4 linked regions of the Arabidopsis thaliana genome follow. The protein of the gene in region 1 interacts with the protein of each later gene in a pairwise test. Each region holds a gene or a part of one and is shown in the gene's direction. Other genes may lie near its edges.

Evidence for each region.
Region 2: the proteins of NTL9 (region 1) and CLC-A interact in a two-hybrid assay, tested with the Arabidopsis thaliana proteins (one large-scale study listed by BioGRID).
Region 3: the proteins of NTL9 (region 1) and NPSN12 interact in a two-hybrid assay, tested with the Arabidopsis thaliana proteins (one large-scale study listed by BioGRID).
Region 4: the proteins of NTL9 (region 1) and AAP3 interact in a two-hybrid assay, tested with the Arabidopsis thaliana proteins (one large-scale study listed by BioGRID).

Annotation. Positions count from the first base shown.
Region 1 is NC_003075.7:16,887,905-16,892,840, reverse strand, and holds NTL9 (NAC transcription factor-like 9), read left to right. Parts: upstream 1-2,039; 5' UTR 2,040-2,096; coding exon 2,097-2,262; intron 2,263-2,380; coding exon 2,381-2,889; intron 2,890-2,965; coding exon 2,966-3,313; intron 3,314-3,465; coding exon 3,466-3,741; intron 3,742-3,835; coding exon 3,836-3,955; intron 3,956-4,121; coding exon 4,122-4,307; 3' UTR 4,308-4,436; downstream 4,437-4,936. Other genes in the region: HMGB5 (high mobility group B5), read left to right, coding at 4,657-4,703, 4,786-4,872. UniProt on the Arabidopsis thaliana protein: Transcriptional activator activated by proteolytic cleavage through regulated intramembrane proteolysis (RIP). Calmodulin-regulated transcriptional repressor. Binds several synthetic promoters with randomly selected binding sites.
Region 2 is NC_003076.8:16,380,774-16,387,089, reverse strand, and holds CLC-A (chloride channel A), read left to right. Parts: upstream 1-1,665; 5' UTR 1,666-2,090; coding exon 2,091-2,269; intron 2,270-2,585; exon of another isoform or gene 2,586-2,959; coding exon 2,960-3,160; intron 3,161-3,252; coding exon 3,253-3,430; intron 3,431-3,528; coding exon 3,529-4,061; intron 4,062-4,135; coding exon 4,136-5,267; intron 5,268-5,340; coding exon 5,341-5,445; 3' UTR 5,446-5,774; downstream 5,775-6,316. Other genes in the region: AT5G40880 (WD-40 repeat family protein / zfwd3 protein (ZFWD3)), read right to left, coding at 5,885-6,298. UniProt on the Arabidopsis thaliana protein: Voltage-gated chloride channel that could play a role in the regulation of nitrate content.
Region 3 is NC_003070.9:17,808,443-17,813,764, reverse strand, and holds NPSN12 (Putative plant snare 12), read left to right. Parts: upstream 1-1,658; 5' UTR 1,659-2,108; coding exon 2,109-2,185; exon of another isoform or gene 2,186-2,386; coding exon 2,387-2,479; intron 2,480-2,705; coding exon 2,706-2,799; intron 2,800-3,109; coding exon 3,110-3,147; intron 3,148-3,295; coding exon 3,296-3,396; intron 3,397-3,790; coding exon 3,791-3,870; intron 3,871-3,946; coding exon 3,947-4,003; intron 4,004-4,082; coding exon 4,083-4,175; intron 4,176-4,284; coding exon 4,285-4,359; intron 4,360-4,452; coding exon 4,453-4,542; 3' UTR 4,543-4,777; downstream 4,778-5,322. Other genes in the region: AT1G48230 (nodulin MtN21 /EamA-like transporter family protein), read right to left, coding at 5,161-5,295. UniProt on the Arabidopsis thaliana protein: Vesicle trafficking protein that functions in the secretory pathway.
Region 4 is NC_003070.9:29,074,369-29,079,135, reverse strand, and holds AAP3 (amino acid permease 3), read left to right. Parts: upstream 1-1,745; 5' UTR 1,746-1,883; coding exon 1,884-1,977; intron 1,978-2,127; coding exon 2,128-2,361; intron 2,362-2,445; coding exon 2,446-2,539; intron 2,540-2,645; coding exon 2,646-2,860; intron 2,861-2,953; coding exon 2,954-3,093; intron 3,094-3,184; coding exon 3,185-3,543; intron 3,544-3,640; coding exon 3,641-3,935; 3' UTR 3,936-4,257; downstream 4,258-4,767. Other genes in the region: AT1G77370 (Glutaredoxin family protein), read right to left, coding at 4,494-4,549, 4,644-4,767. UniProt on the Arabidopsis thaliana protein: Amino acid-proton symporter. Stereospecific transporter with a broad specificity for GABA, tryptophan and both neutral and basic amino acids. High affinity transport of cationic amino acids.

The DNA of each region.
Region 1 (4,936 bases):
ATGTAAAATTAACAGTGGGAAGCGGGTTGCACCGAACCAAGCCCATGTAGCTAAACACTCACACGCGCGACGCATGTCTGAAAAGTGGTAATTGAATTTTGTTTAGAATGATTCTACAGAGGTTGAATTTGGTAAATGAATCAGAGGAATATTAAGCATTTGAGCATAATTTCCAATTTGGTCAGATTATGATATATGTAAATATGTCCATGATTCATTTTCTGTTTTTGGGTTCTCTTTGTTCATTTATTAAGTCATGGGCTGAAGTTTTCATATTTTAAGTCATGGGCTGAGTTCTCAAGGACTAAAACTGGTATTGATATTATGATCTGTTAAAAGCCAATTCATTTAAGGTGTTCAAAATCTAAACTGAATAATTGCGTTAAATTAAGCCGGACATGTTTCAATCAAAAGTCAATAGAATGTGTCAAAATACTCTGGGTACTTGGGTAGTATTAGTAACATTAACTTACAAGGATTTTTCTCTATATAAAAATACAGAGTACTAGTTTTGATTTTATCTGAGTGAGAACTTTCTAATAAAACTCTAATCGAAAACAATTAATATTTTGTATAAAATGGAGTGTAGAACCTAAATATTTTGTATTGCTTGGATATATAGTTTTTTTTCTTCTTAACATGGATATATAAGTTCTATTTCGTACATATTTCCCCTAATTTTAATGTTGAATTTTGGAAAACTTTTGTTGGATAGTGACATGAAGACCCTAATTTTAATCATAACATTTTGGAAAACTTGATTGGGTGAGTGATATGGAGGTGATGTTAACGTATGTTTGGTATCAATAGTTGGTCCAATTAGGCCCAAAGAGTCAAAAAAGGTGCCCAAGTGTTGTCAAAAGAGAAAACAATTAAGAATAGGGCAAAGCTTGGCCAGCAAGATTTAGTGGTCATTTCCTAGAAACGTGTCCAAGAATTTATAAAGATGGGTTGTCTTATAAATACATATCGTTCACGTAATTACCTGAGATCAAATCTTAATCATATCATTCATCGTATATAGACTCCAAACACGTTTTTCAAACTCCTATGATCATGTGTTCTCTCTTTGCCTCCGTCTTTGATTGCTTTGTTCCAAAATCAGACTCAAAGATTAGCTCAACTGATGAGAGTGACTTGAAAGTCCTGTCCTCAAAGAAACCAAAAAGCAAATCCCCGAGAGCTCCGATTATGGTGTCTTACTTTCCCGCCGGTTCAAACCTTTCGCGTCTATAAGTGCCAAATAGAAGAGAAGAGAAGATGAAGTATTGGGATGTTGATTTTGATATAAACGAAAGAAGTTTTTGGTTGTAGACATGTTGTATGCGCAGGCTTTAATTTTATGTTTTATTTAATTATGTACAAATAGACCATTTAGATTGATAGCATCATATATATGCTTTGTATTTAAGACCAAATAAAAGATTAATGTTTATATACATGCGTAAAAATGTTAAGAGCTTAGTTAGTATCATTTTCAAAAACTGATTGTCACTTGAGCTTTTATTTTTCTTATTTTTTTAATTAAGAAAAGTTGTGGCCCTCAAAAAGTTACATGGAATCGGAACAGGAAAAAAAAAATGTCGAAAACTGATTAATCTAGGCAACGTTATCGCATTTTCATATCTTACAAATCCCTTTTTCAATTCAGATTTGGTAGAAATGCAAGGAGAGTTCCATAGTGTATATGTAAAATTTGTATAAAACGTCTAGAAGAATTACAATGCTGAATTTGTTGGAAGCTCTGTTTTTCTCTGCTTAGACGTTTCCAACGTGTTTTGGGTTTCTCTGATCACTGTAAAGCCTAAACCACAAGAGAAGAAAAACCACGAAGCTTTGGGCTTTAAGGCCTTTTTGGGCCCTAGCCACAATAATGGAAGCCTATCAAGAAAAGACAAGACAAGACAATAAGACAGAAGAGGACAAGTGTTTAAAGTGGAAGTTATCTTTCTCACGTGGTCTAAAGAAAGGTTAAAAAAAAAGAGGGAAAAAAAAAAGAAGATGAGAGAAAGCAAAGTGTTGAAGACTTTTTAGAAAGCAGAAAAAAAAGCAGAGAGTGTATTCAAAGTCGGAAAGAAACCCTAAAGAAGAGGATTATGGGTGCTGTATCGATGGAGTCGCTTCCTTTAGGTTTCAGATTCAGACCTACCGATGAAGAGCTCGTCAATCACTACCTCCGTCTCAAGATCAACGGACGTCACTCCGATGTCCGTGTCATCCCTGATATCGATGTCTGCAAATGGGAACCTTGGGATCTTCCTGGTTCGTCTCTTTATTCTCTCAAAATTTGATTCCTTTTATTCTCAGATTCTGTTTTCCCTCTCAAAGATTCCACCTTTTTTTTCTTTACTCAATTGGAAACAAATCTGATTGTCGGCAGCTCTCTCGGTGATTAAGACGGATGATCCAGAGTGGTTCTTTTTCTGCCCTCGTGATCGGAAATACCCTAATGGTCATCGCTCTAACAGAGCAACTGACTCTGGCTATTGGAAAGCTACTGGTAAAGATCGTAGCATCAAGTCTAAGAAGACTTTAATCGGTATGAAGAAGACTCTTGTCTTCTATCGTGGACGAGCTCCTAAAGGTGAGCGGACTAATTGGATTATGCACGAGTATCGTCCCACTCTTAAGGATCTTGATGGCACTTCCCCTGGCCAAAGCCCTTACGTTCTTTGTCGCCTCTTCCACAAGCCTGATGATCGGGTTAATGGTGTCAAGTCCGATGAAGCAGCTTTTACGGCCAGCAACAAATACTCACCTGATGATACATCATCTGATCTTGTTCAAGAAACACCTTCCTCTGATGCTGCTGTTGAGAAACCATCAGATTATTCAGGTGGATGCGGTTATGCTCATAGTAATAGTACCGCAGATGGGACAATGATTGAGGTATGAATGGAAACTCTTGAATAATTAATTAGGCTTTTTTGAGTGACTTGACTAATTTTGAGTTTTGTGTTCATAGGCACCTGAAGAGAATCTTTGGTTATCTTGTGACCTTGAAGATCAAAAGGCACCACTACCGTGTATGGATTCTATATATGCTGGTGATTTCAGTTACGATGAGATTGGATTCCAATTTCAAGATGGTACCAGCGAACCAGATGTATCACTAACAGAATTGTTGGAGGAGGTGTTCAATAACCCTGATGACTTCTCTTGCGAGGAATCGATCAGTCGAGAGAATCCAGCAGTCTCACCAAATGGGATATTTTCATCTGCTAAAATGCTGCAGTCTGCAGCACCAGAGGATGCTTTCTTCAACGACTTCATGGCTTTCACTGATACAGATGCTGAGATGGCGCAATTGCAGGTGAGCACAAAGATACATATTTTGAGGCCTATACAATTTTAGAAGTATCCAAATTATTTTGCTTTAAGTAGGCTAGAAACCTCTAGATCAGTTATCTTTACAATCACTCTTGACATAAGTAAAATGACAATTTTTATCTTTTGTTTGATCAGTATGGTTCAGAAGGTGGAGCTTCTGGTTGGCCAAGTGACACTAATTCATACTATAGTGATTTGGTTCAGCAAGAGCAAATGATCAATCATAACACAGAGAACAACCTCACAGAAGGGAGAGGGATAAAGATCCGGGCTCGACAGCCTCAGAACCGGCAGAGTACAGGATTGATAAACCAGGGTATTGCTCCAAGGAGAATCCGTCTGCAGCTGCAGTCTAACTCTGAAGTAAAAGAACGAGAGGAGGTGAATGAAGGACACACTGTTATTCCCGAGGTACGAGACTAGTGATTCCAAAAGTTGTGTCTTAGACATCAATAACATAAAGGATGCATCTTTTTAATTTGTTGTTAATGGTGGGGATGTGCAGGCCAAAGAAGCTGCAGCTAAATACTCAGAGAAGAGTGGTTCTTTGGTTAAACCTCAAATAAAGCTCAGGGCGCGGGGAACTATAGGCCAAGTAAAAGGAGAGAGATTTGCAGACGACGAGGTAAGAATGAGTGAACTTGTTTACACATGAATGAAGAAAGAGTATAGTAGTAAGCTCTACTAAATACTATAGAATTAGAAAGAAAAAAAAGAGAAAGCAATCAGTAGAGCATGTGAGATCAGCTAGTAATGATAAAAGAAACTGAGAAGTATCTTTGTCTAAAGAGAAGTTTGTTGTGGTTACAGGTACAGGTGCAGAGCAGAAAGAGACGAGGAGGGAAGCGATGGAAGGTGGTTGCAACGGTAATGGTGGCTGTGATGGTTGGGGTAGGGATGGGTATATGGAGGACACTGGTGAGTTCATGACACATGAGACACAAAGAGAGAGAGAGAGAGAATCAAATGTAGTTTAATGTAATTAGGGATGATGCAATGTTAGCATGTTTGTGTGTTGTAACTTAAAAACTTATTTAGGAATCTGATAAAAGTTACTGTTGAATTTACACGGATGGTCAAGATTAAATGTACCAACATCTTAATTATCTACGGTCAAGATTAAAAATACCAACATCTTAAATTAACACCGCATCAAAGAATTATCTCAATCGTCGTCTCTCCCCAATTCAAAAAAAGAAATAACCTAAACGTGTTCACACAGAGGTAAGCTCGCTCCTACTCGCCGCCTCATCTGAGTCAACTCCGAGTCAGCTATTTTTCCCCACCGGATTCTCACTTTTGTTCCTCTCTGTGACAGATCTCGAGATGAAAGATAACCAAACGGAAGTTGAATCGAGGAGCACTGATGATAGGTATCTTTATATTTATCCGTAATCTCGATTCTTAGATTCAATTTGTTTCCGTAGTTTTGAAATCGTCTTTTATGATTCTCAGATTGAAAGTTAGAGGGAACAAAGTTGGAAAGAAAACAAAGGATCCAAACAGGCCTAAGAAACCACCAAGTCCTTTCTTCGTCTTCCTGTAAATAAAAATCACTAATCTCTCTTCTTCTTTTTTCTTCACTAATTTGATTACAGTAATTAAT
Region 2 (6,316 bases), on another chromosome or scaffold:
AAAACATCGTATAATGTTAAAGATTAATTATATCTACGTTTATGTGGTCAAATATATTTCTCCAATTGGACGTTTCTAGGGTCCGGAATATATAAATCACGTGTTTGGAGAATAAATGATTAGAGATAAATACTCGTACAAGAGAAAATTTAAAAAGGGCTGTTCGATGACCTCAAGGGTCGGAATTCTTTTGATCGTTGGATCTTGGAATTATCGAACGAATGTGTAAGATTACACATGTTCATACTTATTGGTTACAAAGGTTTTTGCTGATCTGTCAGACCTAGTGGCTGAGTTGTCATTTGACACAAGTCACCAATTTAACAGAAGAGAGATATAGTCACTTGGCCAGTACGCAACCAAATGGGCAAATGGCTGATCAATGAAGAATCAAGAATGAATTATATGAATTAGAAGAAAAATAATTACAAAATCTTATTTAAATGTTGATATTTGATTTCTTCTTTCCATATTTTTAAAAGTTAAGTAAAAAGTTTGAATCGATATTTATATGAAAACGGATGAAATGATATATGAAAAAAGTACATGGGAGAATAAAAAAGATAGAAGCTACTTATTCAGGTAATGTGTGATGTATAATGAAAAATGAAGGAATTAAAAAGAAGATTATTATTGTGATCTACCATGTGTACACAAGCAACCGAAACAAATTTTGTTTATGTCCCCTAGTGCAAATTGTAGAGTATTCTATGAGTAATGTTTTTTATGGACAATGTTTGAATATCATTAGTTTTATACATGAAAACAGAAAAGATTTGTCAATGCCTTAGAGATCCACATGCAACCGTCTTTGTCGATCCAAAACGGAAAAGTATGGAGAGCGTTGGTCTGTGCAAGAAATTCATGAAAATATTTAAAATGTCTATTTTAAAATAATTATGTATTTGATAAATTAATAAATAACTAATTGTGATATTAATAGTTGTTAGGGACTATTACTTAGAGAAATTTGGGATATGGAGTAGTATTTTTGGACTTCCACATATGCATTTTTGACAGTACTTTTCAAGAAACCCTATTATGAAACCAAATTATACAAGTTGCACTATGCGCCCAAAGATTTTGGAACTATCGACGTAAAACATTTTATGTCTGCCACAAAAATTCTTAAAAGTTACCTTAATGTTTATGTAAATCATTTTTCTTTCCCTCTTCAACTTTACGTCAAAATCACATATTGATTTGTAATGAAAGAAATAAAAAAATTGAGTACAAATTAATAGCTAGATAATAGTCGATTTCTACACACACAAAAAGGGTTATATCCTTAGTGGATAAGAATTATTTCAATATAAAAAAATTCGTCGTTGTTCAACTACGTCAAAATCACAAACTAATTTCAAATTTATTTTGGGTATTAATATACATGAAAAACGAGTAAAACAAAAGTATGTATATAGCTAAAGACAAAGTAGATTTGTACACACAACAAAATGGACTAAAAATATTGATAAGAATAAATAAACTAATATAGGGTTTGTATACAGAATTATAACTTTCTTCCTTCTAACTTCAAAACCAACAATGGATTTCAAAACTATATACTGTATTCACTATTCAGATTGAAACATAGCTAGAGAATAGTAGATGCCTACACAAACACACATATCATGCCTTCATTTTAGGTTTTTTTTTTTTTTTTTTGATGACAACCTTTATTTTAGGTTATATTATTTAAGTAGGCAATATAATATAGACCAATGATTGTCTTATCTTTAGTGAGAATAGCATATGGTACCCATCCACCCACTGTGACTCCTCCTCACAACAAATAACATTTAAATTAAATGTTATGTTTGTATCACCATACATATAATGGTGTATATTGATGCATGCATGTATCATATGTAGAGAGAGATCTATAAAGCTTCATAAAAGTGTTTCTCTAGAAAAAACGACAAAATTCGCAGAGAAAATCCAAACCAAAAGTAGTTTTGTAACAGAGAGATAGATAGAAAGCTCTTGAAGATCTAACCAAAATCTACTTTTGTTCTTCTTCTTCTTCTTTTCATAAATTTTCGGAGTGGTCCTATTTATTGTTTCTTGGATCATTAGAGAGACAGCTATCGATGGATGAAGATGGAAACTTGCAGATTAGTAATAGTAATTACAATGGAGAAGAAGAAGGAGAAGATCCAGAGAACAACACTTTGAATCAACCACTGCTTAAGAGACATAGAACTCTTTCTTCAACTCCTCTTGCTTTGGTCGGTGCCAAGGTTTCACACATCGAGAGTTTAGATTATGAGTATGTCTTCTTTATCTTCTAGATCTTGATTATTTGATTCTTATTCTGTTTTCATATCGAATTTTACTTTTCTTGAATTGTTTTTTGGATGAGTCTTAATCTTGTTCTATAAAGAGTGACAAAAAAAAAACCTTATTCTATAAAGTTTTGAGCTTTACTCTGTTTCCAGATAAATCTTCACTTTCTGATGGTTTATTGAGTTTGTCATTATCTTTTTTTTTTGTAAAGTTTCAATCTTACTATTTTTTCAGCTAATTTTCATTTTAGAAAGAAATAAAATTGAATGGATTATTTGTCTCAATCTCTTTCTATAAATTTTTAAATCTTTATCCTGATTTTCAGAACATAAATTATGAAAATATTAGAGATAATTTTGACAAGAAGAATGAAAATATTAGTGATGGAGACATATGACCTGTTGTGATACTTCAATTATTTCTCACATTTTCAATTTGCCGCAAGCAATCATAAACCAAATCTTGTACAAGATCCAGATAATTAGGTTACCTTTTGTTTATTAGTTGTATGATAAGTCTTGGTCTCAAATCTCTTTCTATAACGTTTATTTATCTTTACTCTGTTTTCAGACAATCTTCATATATTTTTTTTTCTTAAACTTGGTGGAAAATAATCAGTGATGGAGACATATACTTGTATAGATTTTTGATTTGAGATTTTGGATTTCTGCAGAATAAACGAGAATGATCTGTTCAAGCATGACTGGAGAAGCAGATCAAAAGCACAAGTGTTTCAATACATATTCTTAAAATGGACATTAGCTTGTCTTGTTGGTCTCTTCACTGGTCTTATCGCTACTCTCATCAACCTTGCTGTCGAAAACATCGCCGGTTACAAACTTCTCGCCGTCGGCTACTACATTGCTCAAGATAGGTATTGACTCATCAGCCAAATCTTGAAAAACAAAACAGTCAAGATCAAGAAATTGAGATACCTTGTATGACAAGTTTATGTTTTTGAAATAGGTTTTGGACAGGTCTGATGGTCTTTACGGGGGCGAATTTGGGTCTGACTTTGGTGGCGACAGTACTTGTTGTTTACTTTGCTCCTACGGCGGCTGGTCCGGGGATCCCTGAGATTAAAGCTTACCTTAATGGCATTGACACTCCCAATATGTTTGGTTTTACCACCATGATGGTTAAGGTTTGTTTCTTAAACCTTCACAAAGTTTGAAGCTTCCCACAAAGTTAGTGTGAGATCTTTTGTTTTACTGATGGATTTTGCGGTTTTTTTCCGATTAGATTGTTGGAAGTATTGGAGCGGTTGCAGCTGGACTTGATCTTGGTAAAGAAGGGCCATTGGTTCATATTGGAAGTTGCATAGCTTCTTTGCTTGGTCAAGGTGGTCCAGATAATCACAGAATCAAATGGAGATGGCTTCGTTACTTCAACAACGATAGAGATCGAAGAGATCTTATTACATGTGGATCTGCCTCTGGAGTATGTGCTGCTTTCAGGTCACCAGTAGGAGGAGTACTTTTCGCTCTTGAGGAAGTCGCTACGTGGTGGAGAAGCGCTCTCTTGTGGAGAACATTCTTCAGTACAGCCGTTGTGGTGGTTGTATTAAGAGCGTTCATTGAGATTTGTAACTCCGGGAAATGCGGACTTTTCGGCTCAGGAGGACTCATTATGTTCGATGTGAGTCATGTAGAGGTTAGGTACCACGCAGCAGATATAATCCCAGTCACATTGATTGGAGTCTTTGGTGGCATTCTTGGAAGCTTGTACAATCATCTTCTGCATAAAGTTCTCCGGCTTTACAATCTCATCAACCAGTAAGTGTTTATGAACGTTCAAGAGTCTTAAAGATTTCTTTTTACTTAACATTGTTTGGTAAATTTTGGTGTAGGAAGGGAAAGATTCATAAGGTGCTTCTAAGTCTTGGGGTATCTCTATTCACATCAGTTTGCTTGTTCGGTCTTCCTTTCTTAGCGGAATGCAAGCCTTGTGATCCTTCTATAGACGAGATATGTCCAACAAACGGAAGATCAGGAAATTTCAAGCAATTCAACTGTCCAAATGGTTATTACAACGATCTATCCACTCTGCTTCTCACAACCAATGATGATGCAGTCAGAAACATTTTCTCTTCAAACACTCCTAATGAGTTTGGCATGGTTTCTCTCTGGATATTCTTTGGCCTCTACTGCATTTTGGGTCTTATAACATTCGGTATAGCGACACCGTCGGGTCTCTTCCTACCGATTATCCTCATGGGTTCTGCATACGGTAGGATGCTAGGCACAGCAATGGGGTCTTACACAAACATAGATCAAGGGCTTTACGCGGTTCTTGGTGCAGCTTCACTCATGGCTGGTTCAATGAGAATGACTGTTTCACTCTGTGTTATATTTCTGGAACTCACCAACAACCTTCTTTTGTTGCCCATTACAATGTTTGTGCTTCTGATAGCTAAAACAGTAGGTGACAGCTTCAATCTAAGTATCTACGAGATCATTCTCCATCTTAAGGGCTTACCTTTCTTGGAAGCAAATCCAGAGCCGTGGATGAGGAATCTCACTGTAGGTGAGCTTAACGACGCTAAGCCTCCGGTTGTAACACTTAACGGAGTAGAAAAAGTGGCAAATATAGTCGATGTACTAAGGAACACAACGCATAACGCATTCCCAGTCTTGGATGGAGCAGATCAAAACACTGGCACAGAGCTCCATGGTCTGATCCTAAGAGCTCACCTTGTGAAAGTTCTGAAAAAGAGATGGTTCTTGAATGAGAAAAGGAGAACAGAAGAGTGGGAAGTTAGGGAAAAGTTCACACCGGTTGAATTAGCTGAGAGAGAAGATAACTTCGATGATGTTGCAATCACAAGCTCAGAGATGCAATTGTATGTTGATCTTCATCCTTTGACCAACACTACACCTTACACAGTGGTGCAAAGTATGTCAGTGGCTAAAGCTTTGGTTCTGTTCCGGTCAGTGGGTCTCAGACATTTACTGGTGGTTCCCAAGATTCAAGCTTCAGGGGTAAGTTTGCTTTTTTACTCTCTTGATTCAAGATTCAAGAACACTACTAAACGTGTGTCTTGTGTTGTTGCAGATGTCACCTGTGATAGGGATCTTAACAAGGCAAGATCTCAGGGCTTATAACATTCTACAAGCATTTCCTCACTTGGATAAACACAAAAGTGGAAAAGCTAGATGAATAAGCCAAAATGCAAAGAGCGTTCACTATTATTTGGTTTGTGTGATTCGTGTGTCTTTCCACATTCTTAGTTGATATATATTCTGTCCAGTTTTGCTTGCATTCTTCCTTCAAGACCAAAAACAAATTATACCATTTGGTAGATTTGTGTTTTCTACTTGTAAATCTCCTTTTTTTTCCCCACGTTTTCAGTTTCAAAAGAAGAAGAATAAGAAATTTGAATACAGAACAAAACTTTGAAGCTTCCATGGAGTTCACAAATCTTTTAAGGAATTGTGTTAAATAAACATCTTTCTATGAGAGAACGGATATGAAAATATTACTTTCTTTTATCTTGGCAACATTAAAAGTTATTACATTAATGCAAGGATTTAGAATCAACCACCAATGTATATGTACAAATTAAATGAAAATCAATAGTCGAAAATTGTTAAAACGACTAAACTTTGGTGCCAGAAGCTAAGCTCCATACACGCAAGTTCCCACTCTTGTCTCCACTGAATAACAATCCTCCAGGACCAATTGTAAGTGTGCAGATCGTCTGCGTAGAGAACATCTTTCCTCTTTCTTCAAAAGATGGTAGGTCGAAAATGCCAACTGCTCCATTTTGGTAAGAGCAAAACATGATCGGTTTGGCCTCTGCATCGTGCATTCCACAGAGAGTATGAACACTCAGTTCTTGTTTGCGAGTTTGAACAACTTTCAAACTTTCATTTTCAGAACAAGCCCAAAGTTTTATGGTCCCATCCAAGGAAGACGATATCAGACACTTGTCCCAACATAAGAGTGAAGTGACAGTGCCGATATGTTGCTTCAGGGTCATTCTACATTGCAAGGTGTTGAGATCCCACACCTAGAACCACAGCAAACA
Region 3 (5,322 bases), on another chromosome or scaffold:
GCGTTGACTCGGCCTAATTAACCACCGTTAAAAATCCTTCTAACAGCGTAATTGACAGCCGTTTTAGTCCGTTAAGCATCTGTTACTATAGTCTTACGACGCCGTTTTCGTGCTAAAGAGAAATCAAAATCGAGAATATAATTTCTCAAAACAAAATCAATTACCCTAAACCCAAATCGAAACCTAATCCTGCCCCCAAAATCAAAATCGAAACCCTAATTGCTTCAATTCGTTTTCTGAAATGCCATTAGTTAGAAAGAATGGCGTCGTTATGATGATTGGATCTCCAATGCTTCACGAATCAGAGAATTTGGTGGGAGATGGAGTTGAAGCACTACCGCGAGGAGAAAGAGATGAAATTGGAGAAGAAGTTGTGGGTGAAACGAATGTGGTATCTGAGTCTTGTGGCGGAGAAGAGGGAGCACAAGATGCAGCTAAAGCAACGCCGGAAGGAGAAGCAGATCGAATTGGAGAAGAAGCTCGAGGTCAAGCGAATGTAGTATCAAATGTTGATGTGGCAGATGTGGCCGAAGTTCGTTCTCCACTTAGGCGAAGTAAACGAAGGCAAATCAGATTGGAAGAAGAAGCTCACGATGCAGTTGAACCAATGCCGGAAGGAGAAGCAAATCAAATTGGAGAAGAAGCTCGAGGTCAGTCCGTTGATGTGGGAAATGCAACCGCAGTTTGTTCTCCACTTAGGCGAAGTAAACGAAGGCAAAATAGATTGGAAGAGGAAGCTGATGTTGCAGTTGAAGAATCAACTCGTCGTGAAATTGGACAAGAGGAAGAGGAAGCTTTAGGTGAAACGTCTTGTGGCGGAGAAGAGGAAGCTCACGAGGAAGCTCACATTGAATCAGGCGTTGAAGTTCGTGCTCCACTTAGACGAAGTAAACGAAGGAGAATCAGAGATGAAGAAGAGGAGGATTTAGAGGCTGAAGTTCCTGCTCTTGATGAAGACGATGACTGTGCAGTCCAAGGAGATGAAGACTGCGATGAGGTTGATGATGCAGTAGATACTAATAGAGAAGAAGATGATACTGCTGGATTAGGTGTCGAAGAAGATGGTAACTTAGACATGGAAAGAGATTTTCCAGAGGCTAATGGAGAAGAAGAAGCTAGTGACAATGACGGCGGAGATGATATATGGGATGAAGACAAGATTCCAGATCCTTTGTCCTCTGACGATGAAGATGATGATAGAGTAGAGGCAGCTCGAAATGATCGTCGTATCACCTTAACGGATGTTCTATTGATAGCACAAAACGTCGTCGTATTGATAGCACAAAACGTCGTCGTATCACCTTAACGGATGTTCTATAACGGCTGTCAATTACGCTGTTAGAAGGATTTTTAACGGTGGTTAATTAGGCCGAGTCAACGCAAACTTAAAGGTTAAAACAGAAGTCAACTTTTTGTTGAGAGTTAAAACGGCCATTTCACGAGTTCACGGTTAATTTGGCCATTTTTTGTTAGTTGAGGTATTAAATAACATTTTTCCCAAAAATTATATATTATTTTAATATTTTATTTAATATTTATATTCTGTAGTCTTTATTATGATTGGTTGAACTTTTTAAAAATAAATATTTTTAATCTGCTTGTTTTTAACTGTCATATATATATTAAGATGTCAAAAATAACCGGAAATATTTGAAATATGGCTTATAGAAAAGTTGCGTAGGTCCTATAGGGACAGAGTGTAGCACAATGTGGACGACATTTTCAGTTTTTTTCTTCAAACGGCTATATATGATCTAAAACATGGTGGAGCTTCGCTGTCAAATCTCTCTGTTTTTTTTAATAATCAAACTAATATTATACTTTTTCAAATAAGCAAATAATTACGAGATTAGCCTCGCACTGAACTTCAATTCTCTCTTTCCTTTTTTCCGTTCGATGAGAGCTTAAGCTCTGCCGCGTTTTCGTTCTCCGATCTTTTTCCATTTTTATCAGTTTCTTCTCTTCCAAATTAGGGTTTTTCTTTTCAGTCTTTGGGAATGATTTTGATGCGGTGAAAAAGTTTTTTTTTTTTGAGGGGGAAGGATTTCTGGGTTTGCTCTTAGGGTTTTGTCTTTTCAATCGCCGGAGCCTGAAATAATCCGGCAGATATGGCGTCTGAATTGCCGATGAGCCCTCATTTGGAGCAGATTCACGGAGAAATCCGTGACCATTTCCGAGCCCTCGCGTATGCTTTCTCTTAACTATCTCTTCAATTTTTCATTCGAGTGTACGTTATCGACAAGACTATAGATTTTTTGGGAACTAGATTTGTTAGGAGATTGAATTTGAGTTTCACAGACGAGAAAATAAGAGTTGGGATAGTGAATCTGAGGCACAAGTCTTATGATTTTTTTCTTTAAAAGTGAGATTCAACATTGATATGCAGGAATGGCTTCCAGAGGTTGGATAAGATCAAGGATTCTAGTAGACAAAGCAAGCAACTCGAAGAACTTGCTGAGAAGATGAGAGACTGTAAAAGGTATTCACTTTCTCCAAGATATCAGTTTTTTTACTACTCGAACTTTCCGGTGTTAGATGAGGGATTGAATTTTTCATGAGAACTAAAATGTTGTAAGTCTATTGGTGATTATGTTTTTGCATTGTGGGAAAATGTATTATTTGAGATGGATGAGATGTGTAATCATGAGTAGGAAAGAGTTTTTTTTGGTGATCAACGATTTTTAAATCTCTGCGCTTCACGTTAGGTTGGTTAAGGAGTTTGATCGTGAACTCAAAGATGGGGAAGCTCGAAATTCTCCTCAAGTAAATAAGCAATTGAATGATGAGAAACAATCTATGGTGAGTTTACTTCTTATTACTTATAATAATCTGTGTGTTGATGAAATCTATGGAGGACATGATACTTTTTAAGCTTCGTGTTAGTGTGATATTTCTGAAGTTAGTATTGGAATATAAAGTTCAGCTTTCTCGCCTCACTTGAGTTTTGGGTCACCATCGAAAAGCATGTTGATTCAGTGGTATATCAATGTAGATTCTGAGTGTTTTTGTGTGAATCTCTCGATTTATCTACCTTAATTTCTCGCTAGCATCTGGTTGTTATGTCTTTTCAAAATCTGCTTGTTGATATTTCCAGTGATTTATGTGACAGATTAAGGAACTCAACTCTTATGTTGCACTAAGAAAAACGTAAGTACGTCTACTTCCAAGGAGCTTCATTGTCTGTCCCTATATTTGATTTTCTCATATACCAATCCTTTTAGCAAATGTATGTTTTTTTATATAGAGATATAGATCGGTATGTGTTAATACATTCCCATTTGTTGTGTGACTTCAGGTACTTGAATACACTCGGCAACAAGAAAGTTGAACTTTTTGATACTGGAGCTGGAGTCAGCGGTGAACCCACAGCTGAAGAAAACGTCCAAATGGCTTCAAGTGAGTCTGTCTAAATATGTCATCTATTCAGTTGATTTTCTTCTGCAACCAGAAAAAGTCCAAAATTTGACACATTGGAAGCTTAAACTGTTTTCTATATATCAGAATGGGTAGGATAGTTAGTCCTGCACTTTTGGCTAATGGTTTGGTATCATTTGATGTGTTTCAGTAAGTTTCTAGTGGAGAGACATATATGACAGTAACTGTTTACCTACTTTACCTTTTAATGTGTTTATGTTGGTGGTTTGATGTTAGTAAATTTCTAGTGGAGGATCATATGTGGCTGGATTTCTAATATCTACATGTGTTCCAAGAATAATTGTCCTTGAACTATCCTGTGGAAAAAGTGTGGAACTTTATGTTGACTCTTGTTTTATCGTTTATATATATGTAGCAATGTCAAACCAAGAGCTTGTCGATGCTGGAATGAAAAGGATGGACGAGACTGACCAGGCTATTGAACGTTCTAAACAGGTAAGTTACAGAAAGAAGTATATCTCACTCAGTCTTTGATGCTATGTCTCTAGTAACATCCAGTGTTTCTTTCCAGGTTGTGCATCAGACACTCGAAGTTGGCACTCAAACTGCATCTAACTTAAAGGGACAGGTAACACAAAGCATTCACCATCTCTTCTCGATATTCTTATCAGGTGTAGTTCCAAATATGCTGACCTAAATATTTTCAGACGGATCAAATGGGCCGCGTTGTAAACGACCTAGACACAATTCAGTTCTCTCTTAAGAAAGCTTCGCAGCTGGTGAAAGAGATAGGAAGACAGGTTTGTATGATCTCTCACAGGACATAAGATTCTAAGACACTGCAAAAGCTAAAATTGTGTCTAACTATTATCACCGTTTCCTTTCAACCTCAATTCTTTCTTGTCACAGGTAGCTACAGATAAATGCATAATGGCGTTCCTGTTTCTGATTGTCTGTGGTGTTATAGCTATAATCATTGTGAAGGTAACCATTGCACTCTCCAACTTTTCTCATTACGGCCCAAATAAAGCTATGATTCCTTAAGCAAGTTTTAACACTGCTTAAATAAAAACACAGATCGTGAACCCAAACAACAAAGACATCAGAGACATCCCTGGACTAGCTCCTCCAGCGCAATCGAGAAAGCTCTTGTACTTCAGAGAATAGCCTTTTGGCAGGGCCGAGAGGGAAGGTTTGGTGCATATTACACTTGCTGTTGCGTGTGTGTTCATTCTTTCATGAAAGAGGGCTTGTTTATGTCATTTAAATTTGAGCTTTCATTAGAGTTTTGTATCATATATCATCATTCTTTAACTTATGACCACATGTTGTATAATTTTATACCAAGTTCAATATATTTTATAAGATCCGTTTTATTGTCCAAGACATCTAAGGAGCCAGTGGTAATCATATTATAGTAATAGATATGTTCTACCCTTAGTTTTTTGAACATTATAATGATCCACAAATTTGTAAAATCAGTTAAACAAAATTTATAGTATTTCCAGCTAATATAGAAAGGGAAAATATCAAATACAGGGCCACACACTCAGAAGTCAGAACTGTTTGGATCATAAAGAGTAGACCAAGGCCGGGTCCGGAGCTACGCTGTCTAGTGAAAACATTTATAACTTTCAGAGACCCTACAAATAATTTTGCGTTTCTTTTTTTTGTAGAACTAACAATGTTAAGTAATCCGAGGTAAATTCTATTTAAAACTGTTTGGGTTCCAAAAGAGATAAAAGACATTTTCACCTGAGAAGTGAAACAACATAACGGTCATTCTCAGACTGCCGTGTGGTTTCCAAGCTGAGTCCGGCCAATATGCGACAACCGCGACGTTATCAGAGGGGCTTCTTCATCGTTAAGCTCCAATCCTCTGGGGCTCCCCCCATCTGACGAATTCTTCTCCTTCCAGTCCTGCTCAATTATTTGGACCAAATCCTT
Region 4 (4,767 bases), on another chromosome or scaffold:
CTCCTAGATCTTTGTTATTACTTTTAATTATCTTTCAATGTAAACATGGAAAAAAAAATAAAAAAACTGGTACATTTTGTATGCATTTTTGCGGTTATAAACTTTGGAATTGTAAAGAATGAACTAGATTTTAACCCGCGGTACACCGCGGAGACAATTTATTTTTTTAAATTAGTATATATAAAATTTTACAAATTATGTCTATCTATAAAATATTTTTATTTTATAGTTTATAATTGTTATTAAGTAACGTCCTTCTAAACCCGTTCCACCAAACTCGTCCTGTAAAAATAAACCGCGGTACCCCGCTAATTTAAATTTATAATTAAAATAAATATTTTACGGGATTGCAATTGTGTTTTAGTTTGTCAAACAAAATTTTGTTTTAAATAGTTGTCGAAATGTAGTTCAAATTTTGGAGACATAAGATTTAGTGAATAGATAAGAAATATATTTAGTTGCGTTTCGCTCATTTTAAGGGATTGCAATTGTCTTTTGGGTTGTCAAACATTTTTTGTTTTAAATAGTTGTCGAAATCTATTTCAAATTTTGGAAAAATCTGCGTGATATATGGGATTGGAATATATTTCGAATGTTTTTTTATTTGTTAATCAATTTATTGCTAAAAAAACAATAATTAAAAGCCAATGGTAGCCATTGTAAATAAATTCCAACTCCAGGATTTATTTCACAAAATGACTGCAACAATGTATATATAGATTCTATTTTTATGAATATAATTCCCTTTATATTTGGAGACTATTTCCTTTGAATGATGACTTGTCTGAATACAAATCTTCTCGTAAGTCCTTAAAGGATATTTGGTTTCCCACGAATCAAGCCAATACAAGTTTGTGTATGTCATTTATGTTTAAATGAGTTTAGTTGGCAAAGTAATCAAAATATTTCATTTCGAGAAGAACATATAGCTTACACGCCTCATAAGTTAGTTACCTACAGAAACTTATATGGTGGGGTGATATACTTTCGGATTCTAGGTAAGATATAGTATATGTGCGTTACTATTGCTCATACTATAAAAATCACCTTTTGGTTTTGAGTTATCATTTTGAAATCTACACATGATTGCGTGTACTCATTATTTAAAGTCGGCATAGATTTCTCCATATATATGTCATGATTCCATGAATGTTCTTTTAACATCTTAATGCGATAACACTTTACATTGAAATATTCAAGAAAAAACCAAGCTGTTTTCTAAATAAATTTAGTTTGTCCACGGTTAATAAAATTTAAAATTAGCGAAATACGTAAATAATCAAATGATATAACCAAAATGCCTATTATTTTTAAAACAACATTTTATTTTCTCTAATCTCATAAAATACTCTAATAAAATCTAGTTGTAAGTGAAAATAACACTAAGCTTCAAACACACACGTACATGAATGTTTGTTTTTTTCTTTCAAAAAAGCTGAACAATGACATTTTAAGTCCAAATGAAAACGATGGTATCATCTTGGACTTCCAATTTTCCATTGCCCATATTTTCTCTTTTCTTTTGTTTTTATCCAATTGGTATCGAATCATTCATATAAAATTATAAATCATGAAGTCAAATTTTTCAATAGTAACACTTGAGTAATAGTGGTCCTACCAACTTTTTACCAAGACAGATATATTTTTTTTAATACACTTTTTACCTTTTACTGTGTTTGCCTCAAATGAGTGTTTTTACCAGTTTCTGTGTATATAAATCTGCACTCCACTCTCAGTTTATCTTCATCCACAAGACAGTTCTTTAACAAAGTCATTAAACATTTCCCTTACCTTCTAAAGATCAACTCTTTCAAACACTTACTCTGCATGTAACTTCATAGATTGAACGAAGAACCAAAAAAACAGAGCAAAACAAACAAAAGATGGTTCAAAACCACCAAACAGTTCTCGCCGTCGATATGCCACAAACCGGCGGCTCCAAGTACTTGGACGACGACGGGAAAAACAAAAGAACTGGTAACAATGTTTCTCTCTTTCTCTTTAATTCATATTGAGACTTGGTTCTCTAATTATTCAAAAAAATATTAATTTGAACTCGAAACCTGCTCTGATTTAGTTATGTTGAAAAAACGAGAAAGTTGAAAGTTTTTAAATTTTGGGTTTTAGGGAGTGTTTGGACGGCGAGTGCACACATAATAACGGCAGTGATAGGTTCGGGAGTTTTGTCACTAGCGTGGGCTACGGCGCAGCTAGGTTGGCTCGCCGGACCGGTGGTGATGTTGCTCTTCTCTGCCGTCACTTATTTCACTTCTTCTCTTCTTGCTGCTTGTTACCGCTCCGGCGACCCTATCTCCGGCAAGAGGAACTACACTTATATGGATGCTGTCCGATCAAATCTCGGTAAATACAAAACTTCAAAGTAGAAATCGGACAATGGAGATCAGATCAGAACAGAGCATTAACATTTTTCATTGTTCTGTATAGGTGGCGTGAAGGTGACGCTATGTGGGATTGTTCAGTATCTTAATATCTTTGGTGTTGCTATTGGCTACACAATTGCTTCAGCTATAAGCATGATGTGAGTGTTCTCACTAATTAACTCTTAAAACTACGAAGTTAGGTAATGGACCAAATAGGTTTTGATGATAATAAAAAATAAACAAAATTTTGTTTTTGAAAAACAGGGCAATAAAGAGATCAAACTGTTTCCACAAGAGTGGAGGGAAAGATCCATGTCACATGAACAGTAATCCTTACATGATAGCTTTTGGATTAGTCCAGATTCTATTCTCTCAGATTCCAGATTTTGATCAACTTTGGTGGCTCTCAATCCTCGCCGCCGTTATGTCCTTCACTTATTCCTCAGCCGGTCTCGCCCTCGGCATAGCCCAAGTTGTCGGTTCGTTTCTTGAACCATAAAGCTTCTAGGGTCTTAAATAAGAACTTTCATAGGTAAAAAACTAATAGGTTTTATGTGTTTTGGTTTCATCAGTTAATGGGAAGGTGAAGGGAAGTCTCACTGGGATTAGCATAGGAGCAGTAACAGAGACACAGAAGATATGGAGGACCTTTCAAGCTCTTGGAGACATTGCTTTTGCTTACTCTTACTCCATTATCCTCATCGAGATTCAGGTACTTATACCTTCTTTACAAGTCTTGATGATCAAAGCCATTAATTACTGGTCCCATCATGAAGCTTTTTTTATTCTGGGATCTGAAACAGGACACAGTGAAGTCACCACCATCAGAAGAGAAGACGATGAAGAAGGCAACACTTGTGAGCGTCAGTGTAACGACTATGTTCTATATGTTGTGTGGATGTATGGGATATGCAGCCTTTGGAGACTTGTCTCCGGGAAATCTCTTAACCGGTTTCGGGTTTTATAATCCTTATTGGCTTCTTGACATTGCAAATGCAGCCATTGTGATTCACCTTATTGGTGCATACCAAGTCTATTGCCAACCTCTGTTTGCTTTCATCGAGAAGCAAGCTTCCATTCAATTCCCTGATAGTGAGTTCATTGCAAAAGATATCAAAATTCCAATTCCTGGTTTCAAGCCTCTCCGCTTGAATGTCTTCAGGTACAAATCTTGCCTTTAAACTAATGGGATCTGAGTTTTAAACATGATGTGTATGTAATAATCAAAGCTTCTGTGTGGCGTGGAATGGCTTACTCAGGTTGATATGGAGGACAGTGTTTGTGATCATAACGACAGTTATCTCAATGCTTCTTCCGTTTTTCAACGACGTTGTGGGTCTGCTCGGGGCACTAGGGTTTTGGCCATTGACGGTGTATTTTCCAGTGGAAATGTACATCGCGCAGAAGAAGATACCTAGATGGAGCACCAGATGGGTTTGCCTTCAAGTCTTCAGCTTAGGGTGTCTAGTAGTTAGCATTGCTGCAGCTGCAGGGTCCATAGCTGGAGTACTTCTTGATCTAAAGTCCTACAAGCCATTTCGAAGCGAATACTGATCAACTTGAATAGTAGCCAATTCAAAGCGATGACTAAGTCAGTTTTAAACACAATGGATTTATCAAGAACAGTCAAGAGAACCAAGAACCATGAATTTGGGAATTTTGATCAGCTTTTTTTTATATAGATAGAAGCAATAATGCTGTTAGTTCTTCTCTATAATCTTCTCTGTACCCTGAAGGCAAGAATTGTAGTCCTAATGAGTAAATCTTCGATTAATGACAGAGTCATGTGCTGCAACAGAATCATGAACTAGCACCATAATAGTATATTACCATTGTGGTAAAATTTCAATAACAAGTTCTTGTACTTGCTCTTCTTTCCATGATCTGATATTTGCCGTATGAACCATTCACTAAGGCACACAAGTATGGATTATTTAAGCGAAACAATCACCAGAGCAGTGCAGTAACAAAAGATCAAGACTTTATCAATGCCATCATAACTTACATAACTGAGTCATACATATCAATTCGCTTATTCAGTCTACAACTAGCAAAGATTTCTAATTCCTGTAAATCACATACTGTAGATTCCACATTCGAGGTCCTCAAATATCAACTTGCAGCAAGAAGCTTTTGCAACTGACCACTCTCCAAAGCAGCTCCAAGATCTGAAGCAACAAGATAAACAGCCAAGGCTTGTGAGTTACAAGGGAAATTTGGACAAAAGAATGAAACTTGGAGGAGATAGTGAGCTCATCATACCATCTGATCCACCAATATGCTTGCCGTTAACAAAAACTTGCGGGACAGTACGACGACCAACGAATTCTAAAAGCTCATACTGGATTTGATCTCCGTCCTCTGCAAAAACAAATCTCTCAGAAGT